Caenorhabditis elegans: one gene and its partners. The protein of the gene in region 1 interacts with the protein of each later gene in a pairwise test. Each region holds a gene or a part of one and is shown in the gene's direction. Other genes may lie near its edges.

What was found.
Region 2: the proteins of nhr-69 (region 1) and mpk-1 interact in a two-hybrid assay, tested with the Caenorhabditis elegans proteins (3 studies listed by BioGRID).
Region 3: the proteins of nhr-69 (region 1) and ifbp-1 interact in a two-hybrid assay, tested with the Caenorhabditis elegans proteins (2 studies listed by BioGRID).

The regions. Positions count from the first base shown.
Region 1 is NC_003279.8:9,879,496-9,883,250, reverse strand, and holds the start of nhr-69 (Nuclear hormone receptor family member nhr-69), read left to right. Parts: upstream 1-1,746; 5' UTR 1,747-1,757; coding exon 1,758-1,914; intron 1,915-2,019; coding exon 2,020-2,085; intron 2,086-2,134; coding exon 2,135-2,277; intron 2,278-2,493; coding exon 2,494-2,649; intron 2,650-2,843; coding exon 2,844-2,989; intron 2,990-3,044; coding exon 3,045-3,224; intron 3,225-3,271; coding exon 3,272-3,377; intron 3,378-3,422; coding exon 3,423-3,521; intron 3,522-3,755. UniProt on the Caenorhabditis elegans protein: Orphan nuclear receptor which, in cooperation with R-SMAD daf-8, modulates the Insulin/IGF-1-like signaling (IIS) pathway, perhaps by regulating expression of the potassium channel exp-2, which in turn modulates the secretion of insulin-like peptide daf-28.
Region 2 is NC_003281.10:4,226,448-4,230,202, reverse strand, and holds the start of mpk-1 (Mitogen-activated protein kinase mpk-1), read left to right. Parts: upstream 1-2,108; coding exon 2,109-2,312; intron 2,313-3,755. Other genes in the region: F43C1.5 (uncharacterized protein), read right to left, coding at 93-314, 388-464, 516-655, 776-892, 938-1,006. UniProt on the Caenorhabditis elegans protein: Functions in let-60 Ras signaling pathway; acts downstream of lin-45 raf kinase, but before the lin-1 gene product in controlling vulval cell differentiation. Plays a negative role in proximal germline proliferation in the mitotic zone.
Region 3 is NC_003283.11:13,371,055-13,374,809, reverse strand, and holds the start of ifbp-1 (Interferon regulatory factor 2-binding protein 1 & 2 zinc finger domain-containing protein), read left to right. Parts: upstream 1-1,789; 5' UTR 1,790-1,911; coding exon 1,912-2,243; intron 2,244-2,581; coding exon 2,582-2,819; intron 2,820-2,868; coding exon 2,869-3,085; intron 3,086-3,440; coding exon 3,441-3,755.

The DNA.
Region 1 (3,755 bases):
TATTTTCTGCATTCTGACGGGAAGCGCGGTGTTTCGTGCGATTTTCAAACAATGTTTGCGATTTTTGAGCGAAAGATACGGTGCCGGGTCTTGACACGACAAAAAAAATGATAAAAATTAACAGAGAAACTGAGAAAATACACGAGTGAAAAACACAATCTCATGGGAAATTTATAAAAATAAGAATTTAACAAAAGTTTGTCGTGCCGAGACCGGCTACCGTATTTTCGGCGCAATAATACCCGACAGTTCATAAGCCGGGTTTTTCAGAATGGGAGTCAAAAAAGGGTTACTGTAGCAGTAGTGTCCAATACATTCGCTTGTAAAGTACGGTACAAGGTGACCATCGGAAAGAACGGAAAATGTGAGAAGCTATTAAAATTACAATAAATCACATTTTTGAGATATCTGTTGTTTTCCATAACTCTTCATATTCATATTATTTCAAGTAAAAATCAGTTTGTCAAAATCAAAAAACAAACATCAAAAAACAAAAACTATAAAGATTCATTTTTTTGATAGTTTTTGACATTAACTACGTTGATTTTAACCGAATCTATCTAAATAAGTCAACCAGGCGAGTTTTAATGTTAAATTCAAAAAATTTAGCAAAAATGCTCGAAAAATTCAGCTGAAAATTGAAAAATCCTATTCTCCTCGAGAGACTGCGTAAATCCATCGCGACCAGCTCTTCCATTTCTAGACATGAGTTCGGAAGCCCGGGATTTGTAAAACCTGTAAATGAACCAAATCATTCTCAACCCCTCCCGTTCGAACTTCGAATGAGCTGCGTTTTCTTAAACTGAAATTCCAGAAATTACAGTCGTCTTTCAATATTGTATTCCCGATCTCTGCAAGACCCTTATCAGTCCTTCTATAAATTTCTCATTTTCTCTACCCACTCTCTCATTTTATAATTGTCTTTTCGTCGTTTCTTTCACATGTTTGTCACTTCTTTGCCCCCTTCTTCCCGCCATTCTTATCAAACACCCATCATACGCTCTCCAATACAATGTATTCTTTTTCTTCTTTTTCCAATCATTTTCCTGCTTCTTCATACTCTCTTTTTTTGTTCTTCACACACGTTTTAAGGATCATTGACAATTTGAAATCAGGAAGATCAGTTTTTATGAAGTCGGGTACAAAGAAGGATAGACTAAACTAGAATTTTGTTCTAGAAAAGTTTCAACTAGAAATTGAGATACTTTATTAAATGTTCAGATTTGAAAAATCTCTATGTTTTCCACCCTGGCATATACATATATACCGACATACGTGCCTACAGGCCAATGGCGCGCGGAATATGCCCACCAGTAATTCTACATGAGCCAGGGAGTTCTCATAGTATCTGAAATTTGAAAATGGAGGTAAAAAATTAGGCAAATTGCAACTTTCGAACAGTTTTTCGGACGAATAAAGGTTATTTTCCAATAAAACAAAAAATGCGATATATTCTGTCACCAAATTTAAATAAAAAATATCGAGAGAACATGCCACACTGGTTTGCTTTAGGTTTCCTATTCCTGCATTTCTGTAAATTAAATTATGTCTTTTCATGAGTAGGTGGTCTTCAAAGCTGCCTTGTAGGCACGTAGGTAGGCCTATCTAGGCTTAGATCTATGTAAGATCTAGTTTTTGGACATCTAATTTGAATTTAAACTTGCTCATCAAATATTCTATTCCGCTTCTTCCTACTTTTTATTATTGATTCATATTATCTAATAGAGCACAATTACATAAATATTTAGACAAAAAGTATGGTCGAAGAAATATGTCATATTTGCAACGACAAATCAACTGGTAAACACTACGGGGCAATCAGTTGTGATGGATGTAAAGGATTCTTTCGACGAAGTATTCGCAAACGATATCATTATCAATGCAGATTTGAACAAAATTGTGATGTTACCAAAAGTATGTTTATAGTTTTTAAAGTTTTTGGGCCGTTGGTTTCTGAAATTTCCAAAAGCAAGTCGGTCCTCCAATGTAATAAATATGTAATATTTCCTCTTATTTCAGATAAACGGAACGCATGTCGAGCATGTAGACTTCAAAAATGTGTAAAAGCGGGAATGAAGAGTAATGGTGAGATCATTCCAATACTTTTTTATAAAAATAGCCTGTACTATTTCAGCAATTCAAAATGAACGGGATGCAATTGGAAAACGGAAAAAGACTACGGGAGCTGAAAAAGAAGATTTGATAGATCAACTTGTTGCCGCAGAAACATTATGTCAGCAATTAAGGTCCAGTGTAATCAAGAATACATCTTCACTTGTAAGTTTGATTGGGATTAAACGCAGTGCTTCAAATTTCGTCAAGAGGGATTTCTTTCAATTTGGAAAGTTCTTGATTTTCTTTACTTAAGAAACACGGTTTAATTATGCCGGAATTTGTACCTGGTGGTTCTTTTTCCGCCCCCAGAAAAATCTGTTTTCTAGTTTCACCTCTTGATCTCAGTCAATAATCACATTGAATCCACGTGTTTTACAGGCACCATACGACTGTGGAAAAGTTAAATGGAATTATGAAGATGCGAGAGCTGCCACATTGGATGATATTGGAAAATCGATTCATCAACAATTGGTTCTTTTTATCGAATGGGCGAAGTCATTACCTCAATTCTCGTTTTTGGCTCAAGCAGATCAGGTATGATTTTTTTTCTATGAAAAATTTCAGAAAAATATTTGTTAGATGATTTTTTTTTTGATAAAATCAAAAACAACAGAGATATTATTTAGCTGTCATAGTAGCGAGTTTAATACTGAAAATACTGCAATTACTTGTTTCATACTTTCTTTTTTAAAAAATGACGACTTCTAGCAACAATTTCATAATTCCAGGCAGCTCTTCTCAAAGGCGGTGCCGCGTCAATAATTGTACTTGGAGTAGCATATCGATCGATTTGTCTGACAGTTGAAAATACAATTTGCCTTGCAAATGACACACTTCTTCCAAAAGAACATGCAACACAAGTGGGAGATATCAAGTGAGTATATTCTCATTTCATATCTGTATTCTCAGGTTTTGTACAGTCATTTCAGTTGTGTCGTCGGACGAATTATTGATGAAATTGTGAATCCAATGAGGAGGTTAAATATGGATTTAATTGAATATGTTGCACTGAAAGCTATTCTGTTTTTCAATCCAGTCGTCAGAGAAATCAACGATCAGAGTCCGGTGGAGAACGCCCGATATGCTTTTTTGAGGTCATTGCAGAGAAGGTTTATTTGACAATACTAGCTTCTATAACAAATGTAATATATTTCAGGTGTACTGACAAGGCACTTGAAAATATGGAAGACGAATCAATGGATTGCAGAAGTGGAAAGCTTTTGTTATTACTTCCATCACTTCAGGCTATTGCTCAACAATTGGTTAGTTACAATTGTTATTCAAATTAGTAATTTATGAATTTAAAGGTAGAAGATGTCCAACTTGCTCGTTTGTTCGGTCTCGTGAATGTCGATTCGTTAATGGAAGAACTTATTCTAAATGATATGAAACCTTCAGATCCACAGGTAATTTTTATTTTGAAAAGCAGAACAATGAAAGGAATATCTTAGTTATTGGCAACTTTCAAAACCTAAATCCTGAGCCCGGGGAATTTTATTTCAAACTCTTCCAAATGTGGAATATGCACAACAAATTTTGTTTAGTCTATCTAAGGAGAATAGGTCAATAAATATGCGGATTTCTTTTGTGCTTTGTGACTGTTAAGCTTATGGTGGTTTTGTGGAAGACCCTAATAAGTT
Region 2 (3,755 bases), on another chromosome or scaffold:
GGAAATTTGTGATTTTTAATGGTTTCACAGATGTTTTATCGAAATATCAACTAAACATAGTCTCGCGACCCTATAAATCATGGCCACCCCACCTTTTCTCAACGTTTCCTTTATTTTCGCCGCGAAATTCTCCGATTTTACTTCTCCCTCCCCGATGTATGGTCCATCTGGAACACGATCTTCGTCCGATCGTCGTCTCGGTTCCAATTTTTTCGCTTTGTTCACACTAATTTTAGAATTTTTCGAATTTTTCCCGGGAATTTTCACATGCCGGCGCGATTCTTGAATAGAAGATGAGTCAGAACATGACTTTTCTGAAAGAAATTGTGACGCCACGTGTTTATTTTCTCCTGTTTTTCCCATATTTTCCCAAAAATAAAAGCTCACTCTTTTTCTCCTCACTGATAAGGGTGTTCACTTCTCGGTGTTCAAGTAATAAGGCCAGTTGTTGGTCTTCATATGCTCTGAAATTTATTTCTCACGATTTTCAGTGTATAAATAATTTTATTTTCTACCTCGCAATTTCCACATCTGTAACCGTATCCAAAAATTTTTGATTTTCTCTCAGTTTTTCGTTTATTTCATGCCTTCGCTGCCTTAATTTTGTTAAGTCTCCTCCATGTGGAATAGATTCAGAAGTCGTTGTAGTTGGCGTCTGAAATTATTTTTGGAATTTATCGATCGAAATTTGAACAATTGAGATACAATATTCTCGCTGACAGTGCTTTCTCGTGTAGTAAAGCAATAATTTCTATAAACAAAAAAATTAACATACGTTATCATAAAGTAGCTCATTAATAGTGGCTGAAACATCTCCATCATATTTCCGTAGAACATATTCAATATGTGAATTGCTTAGACTGGGAAACATAGCTTGAAAGTCCAGCATTGCCTGAATATTTTGAAAATTTGTTGCCAAATTTGATTCTAGACGTACTCTATCAAAATCCAATAGTTCTTCTTCTACCACACCAGATCGGTCTTCATAGTCATCATAATCCGTCATTATTTCGTTAGAAAAAGCTGAAAAATAGTGTTGAAAATGAAATGAGTCAGCATTATGAAGAAGAACGCTCGTACAAATATTAAACATTTTGGGTGGGCGGTCAAAAAGAATGAGACAGTGTTGTGTGTGTACAATGGTGATTGTATTATCGGTCTGCGGTGAGAGAGTTATGAAAAAATACAGGGAAAATAGGCAGAATTTGGAGTGAAATTGCTAGTAAACTCGGAGTTTTTTTTTTGAAAAACTGCAAGTTAGAGTCTCTAAAGTTCGGAAAAAAGCTTTCTCTGACATCATAAATGATTTTTGCTCTTTTTTACTTCAACATAGTGATTTGGGAAACCATACAAAAGATAAATGGCTTCAAAACAGGAACAATATTATGCATTTTCTGACGAAGCTAATTAATTGACGAGGAGAAACTCATAGACTTTTTATTCATAAAAACAACTTTCGAATAGATTTTCTGCATTTTCTGTTTTTACATAGTTGGCCAGTTTTACTTTTACTGCGGGAAAAGTTCTATACGATTTTTTTTCCTTTATTTAGTGTATCCATTGAGCTAGAAAATACGAAAATTTGCCTTATGTCCCGAATATATCTGTAAAAAAAAACAGTGTTTAATTTTTCAATGATTTATTCAATTTCGCTGAAATATAAATACAAAATCGGCGGAAGGGAATTTGAATTTTTGCACTTTCTGGCAAAATTCATGGATTTTTATAATTTCACTTTTCATACATTTTTAAACAAAAAATGAAATAATAGTTAAATAATCGAATTTTGAACTGATTTTAAAGTTTCCGAAATTTTATTTCAGGTCGTCAAGTTTTCTTCACAAAAAAATCAAAAAAAAAATCATGGAGCCGTTTCTTTTATTTTTGCAAAATTGAAAAAAATCATTAAAAATTCAGAAAAAGAAATCTATAGTTTTTTTTAACAGTTAAATTTGGTAAATTGAGGGAATTTTCAAAAAAAGTTCCTTTGCAATATCAGAAATTTCTTTTCCGACGAAATATTTCACACTCTCAAATATTTTTATCCGTTGCCAGAACTTCTTCTTCATAAAACTAATAATTCTTTAATTTCAGAACCACGAAACATGATGCCAACGTGGATACCTAACAATTTGTGCGCACAGCCGACAACGAGAAATGCTAAACCACCATCGAACGGGCATCCACAAGCGACACAACAACAATCTGCTCCGGGATCATTGGCATACCGTAATTCGAGCAACATACCGAATGGAGCAACCAACCACGTCAGACAACAGAAATGGCAGTACACTCGTTCAGGACATAGAAAGGTACGAATGATAAGAAAATATGAAAAAAAAAGTTGGAGAAAAATAAACAAAAACAAGCATTTTTAGAAGCTGAAAAATATTAAAATGCTCTTTGGTCAGTTGGAAAATTTGAAATTTTTGCATTGAATTTCTACATTGAATTTAAATTAGAAAGTAAAAATACATTAAAAAATTAAGTCATTCAATTTAATTGCAAAATTCACAAAACGTTTTCAAAAAAGTGCACAATGTTCAAATAATCAGAACATAGCACGTAATCGGGTTGATTTGCCCATTGTGCTCCCATTATCGGGAAAATAAGTTGCGTATTGCATCAAAACCACTAACTTTGTACTTTTATTAGCCTATTAAGACTACCGTGACAGAGTACTGTGTGTGTGTGCTGGAAGAAAAGATTAGTGATGTGACGTTGATTGGTAGTTTTTGAATTGGAAAAGAGAGAAACGGAAGTGTGAAAGTTTGAATAGCTCAATGAAAATGGTTGATTTGAATGAAAAAATTCAAATTTTAAACCAGAAATTGTGCTTTGTGTTTTAAGCTTGAAGGTTTGATGATTTTTGCAGATTGACACTTCATTGACGTATTTAGTTTATACCGGAACACCTCTTAGAATCGTAGTTTTTCAACGAAATTTGAATTTCTGCTAGTAGAAAAAAACTGTTCACAACTTGAACATTTCGTATGTATCCCAAAATGCGATACCCGGTCTCGAAACGACACATTTTTTGGTAAATGCAAATAAGTGTGCGCCTTTAAAGAGTACTGTAATTTTAAACTTTGCTGTGTAATTTTCATCAAAATTTTTCGATAAAATTTTTTTTAACCTCAAATTAAAAAAAAGGTTTTTTTTTAATTATGAGAAAAACTATTTAAAAAATCGAAACTGGGTACCGTATTTTTTGGCGTAAAAATCCTAAAATTTCGCTACTGGGTAATAGTTGTATTTTCGAGGTTCCACTACAAATTACCGTAATCTGAGTGTCCCCCAAATTGAATATATTTGCATTCTTCTAAAGTTTCCAGTTAAGACATCTAAAATCTAATAGAATTAATTGAATTGGTCGTCTGATTGACATTCCAGCGTGCAAGCGGAGATTGGAGAGAAAAACAATGTTTTTTTTTCAAACCGAAAATCAGAACTTTTAAACGAACAAGGAAAAATCGAAAAGGAGTGTTCAAATACAAGAATCCATCTTCCGGAAGTTTTCTTCGTGCGTTTGGCCTAGATGACCCAGATTTTTCCTTTTTTCCGGACTTGAGCTACAGTTTACTGTACTTTGACACGTATTCCTTTGGGAACCCCGAGGATTTACACTAATAATTGATGTTGATCTATCTTCTACCCGCTTTCCATCAACAAACTATTATTTTGAAATCCCGTTGTGTACCCGGGTGAATGACTGACAGAGGTGTGAGGTACTTTGTGTATTATTTATGTTTCTC
Region 3 (3,755 bases), on another chromosome or scaffold:
AGGGTTGACCTCTGCGCGTCTGCGTCTTTCATCCCATTTTTCCTCGCCCGTTCTTTTCTGAGGGAGAGAGGGAGGGAGAGAGAGAGGGAGAGAGAGAGAGGGAGAGAGAGAGAGAGAAAAGACCTTCAATCAGTTTCTGTAGTAGTCCTTCTCCTTGGGATACTGAATACTAGGTCACCATTTCAATCTCTTTTTTTTCTATTTTTTGTGTTTTTTTCTTTCTCTACCCTCTTTATTGTTCTTGTTTTCTGACCGTCACTTCGCTTTGCACCCCGTTTTTGAATTTTAAACTCCTGCTAAAAGTTATAAATACGAATGTGGGAAGATCGGCTCTTTTTGTTTGGATACTGATGAAAAGTCCTATCAGCTTAAAATCATGAATAGTTTAACAGCACCTTCTCAAGCTTGAAAAAAAGTAAATGTGCAAATGCTCTGCTCAAAGCCCCGAGTTGAAACAAAGTTGTTTACAAAATTATCTTGGTTTAGGTTTTTTGTTCAAAATATCAGTAGTGCAATTACACATTGTTTATTCTACATTTTTAGATCCATAATTTTCTAAAACAATATGATAATTCTTTCTGAATCATCTTTTTTTTCAGTTAAAGGCACTTATCGAGAATTCTTCTTCCCCCCATTTATTTTGCATATCTATTGTGCCAACATGAAATTTGCATTTCTTCCCATTTCTCTTCATTTTCCTTTCATCCAAACATCCACGTTTTCTTCCCCATTGTGCAACGTGGTGCACCATGTCACAGAGAGAGATCTAATCTCCATATTTCTTTCATATAGTTTTTCTTGAGCTTTCAGTATCAATGAACTATGCTCCAAATAAATATTGGTCGGCCTAGCACATCTATGGATGGCCTTATCGGAAGGTTTCTCTCACTTATTCTCATGACTCGCCAATTCGACTTTCACTTGTGTTTCTATCTTTTCAAAATGAAATCACACACCTCTACTTTGGTCTTCGTACCGCTTATCAGTTGTTGGGAAGGGTTTTTCTCCAATAAGGAGGGGTTTAGTGACCTTTCAAGCCTTGTTGACAATTAGCCATTATAGCGTCTAGGAAAATCTAGAACTGATAACAAATAACAAAACATCTAAAATCTAGAAACAGGAACATGTTGATCTGAAAATTGAGCAAATTGATGTTTTGTGCAACTGTGATAAGTCAGAAATTTTGATCACTTTTGATAATAGTTATTCCCCCAACAAAACATTTGAAGGTCTCAAAAACAGAGGGAGTCTCCTCATTTTTGCATTTTCGGAGCCAATTTTGAGTTGCCTTCTTCCATTCCAATTCCTTTATTAAGATGCAGATCCGATGCTAATGATATGCACTATCCATACGTCTTGTGGAATATGAATGAGGAGAGGTCGAAGACTCGGAACCCACCTCTTTTTCTTTTTATTTTTTCTCCTGCAGCTTTTCTTTGCCAATTCTTTGTACACAACTATAGTAATACAATGTGCTCAATGCGTCACTCAGTGCTTCGCCCCTTACTGTCTCCTTCTATTCGTCGATTATTCATAGAGTTCTTCGTCATCCAAAAAAAGTGTTACACATCGCTGTAATAGTTCGGACCCACGCATGCTCATGGTTTTGATATTTTCCATTGTTTATTTGAAATAATACAAAAAAATATTCGATTACCCTAATAGTTTACCAAGTCATGGAACAACCCTGTTTGTGTGCAACCAGAGCATCAGCGTTCTGTTATCAGCTGCCGGCTTTTCTTCTTTTATCACTAAAAAACCATGCCTAGTTTTTTCACCTCTCGACCCTATTCGTCTCGGTCAGGAATCTTTCTTATCTCTAGAATTTCTCCCTCTCTTCCATCACGAACTTGAAACGCGCCATTCCTATTCCTCTACCCCATCATTCTTGCAATCATTCCTCTCGTGGAAATGGGCTCGTTCGCTGAGTCGGCTGCTCTTCTGCAGGCATCGATGTCTCTTTCTCCAACACCTTCTATAATTAACAACAATAATACTGTCGATTATTCTCTATCACTCCAGATGCTCGCGGCTCCGAACGCCGTCTCATTGGCCTCTGTCAACGGTTCTGCTTCACTTCTAACTGCAACAACTGCTGGAATGAAGGCGAATAATAATTCAAATGAGAAATTACCAAGACAACAATGTTACCTGTGTGATTTGCCACGCTGGCCGTGGGCAATCATAAATGATTATATTGAGCCAGTTTGCAGAGGATGCGTCAATTATGAAGGATCAGACAGGTTTGTTTGGAAATAATGATGATGAAAATTCCTTTCGATTTTAAAATTTTCCAAAGTGAAAGTCACAAGTTTTCTTATATTGATACAGGACATGAAAATTTGACACCCTTTTTCTTATAAGACTGCAAGCTAAAAGTTTGTTCTGTAATAGATTTCCTAAAGTTTTTAAAGAATTTTTTTTTTGAAAAAAATTAGAAAAAGAACATATTTTTTTGACGATTTTTCTGCCGAAATTTTTTATAAATTGCAGGACTTCACGATCTTATAGTTTTAAAAAGGTTTCAAGACCAATTGAACTTTTTTTGTTTTTTGTCACCAAATATCTTTTTCTGTTTCAGAATTGAACTCGTACTTGAAGAAACACGCCAACAAAAGAAACTCCAAGGAGTTGGAATCAGTGATCCACAGAATGCAAAGACATCCCTCCGAGATATTACACTTACACAACAACAACCCCTTCAAACATTACCAGTCACTTCTGCTAATGGAATCGGAAGGATAAGCCCACAAAGGACACCTCAGCCAACGGTACTTCCCACGTCCCCATTCCATGTGCCAACTATGAACAACTTGGAGGTAAACATATAAAATTGAAAACTGCAATAGTTTACAAATTTATTTTCAGCAAGTTCTGACCCATCAACGACTTCTGCAAATGACACAAGCCAATCCTCGGGCGGTTGACGATCTTATTCAACAGTCTCTTCGAAGCTTGGGCCCAAATTCTCATCTCTTGGCTCCATTCATGATGAGCATGCTTCCAAGCACAACTTATTCAAATCCAAGAAAACGTGAATCTGACGAAGAGCAGAAGCCTGAAATATATGGAAAAGTGCAGAGAGGTATGTCAGTTAGAATTTAAAATTGACATCGTCCCAAAAAACCGGTTGTTGCGTAAAGTAGTAGTGCCCCCTTCTCTCTCTCCGATTAGCCCGTGTATCGTCTCTCTGTCACCCTCTCGAATTGCGTAATACCGATAGACCCGACAGAAAACCAGCCGAATTTAGAAGAATTAGAAGAAAAGAGTAGCGAGTTGAATGAGTGACCTCGAGAGAAATAAAGGGCTAGATATGGGGTCAACACTTTGAAAACGGAACCGGTTTTAGAGGATGGTAGTGTAGTTGGTTGTGGCGTCGTTGTCGGCGCCTGGCACCCAGGGTCATCACCCCCTCATCATCATCATCTTCTATTTTTCAGGCGATGCCCAAACGACAACTGCCTCGCCAACCTCAACTCATTCACCAGACCATCCGGGAGTTAAGGATCGGAGAGGGATCGCCCCAATTGAGAGAGTTTTGAGATGTACACTGTGCAATGAACGTCTAGAAGACACCCACTTTGTACAATGCCCAACAGTCAGCATTCACAAGTTTTGCTTCCCATGCTCGCGGAGCAGCATCAAGGATCAATGCAAGAGCAGTGATATGTACTGCCCATCAGGCGATAAATGTCCATTAGTCGGATCAGCAATGCCATGGGCATTCATGCAAGGAGAAATTGCACAAATCCTCG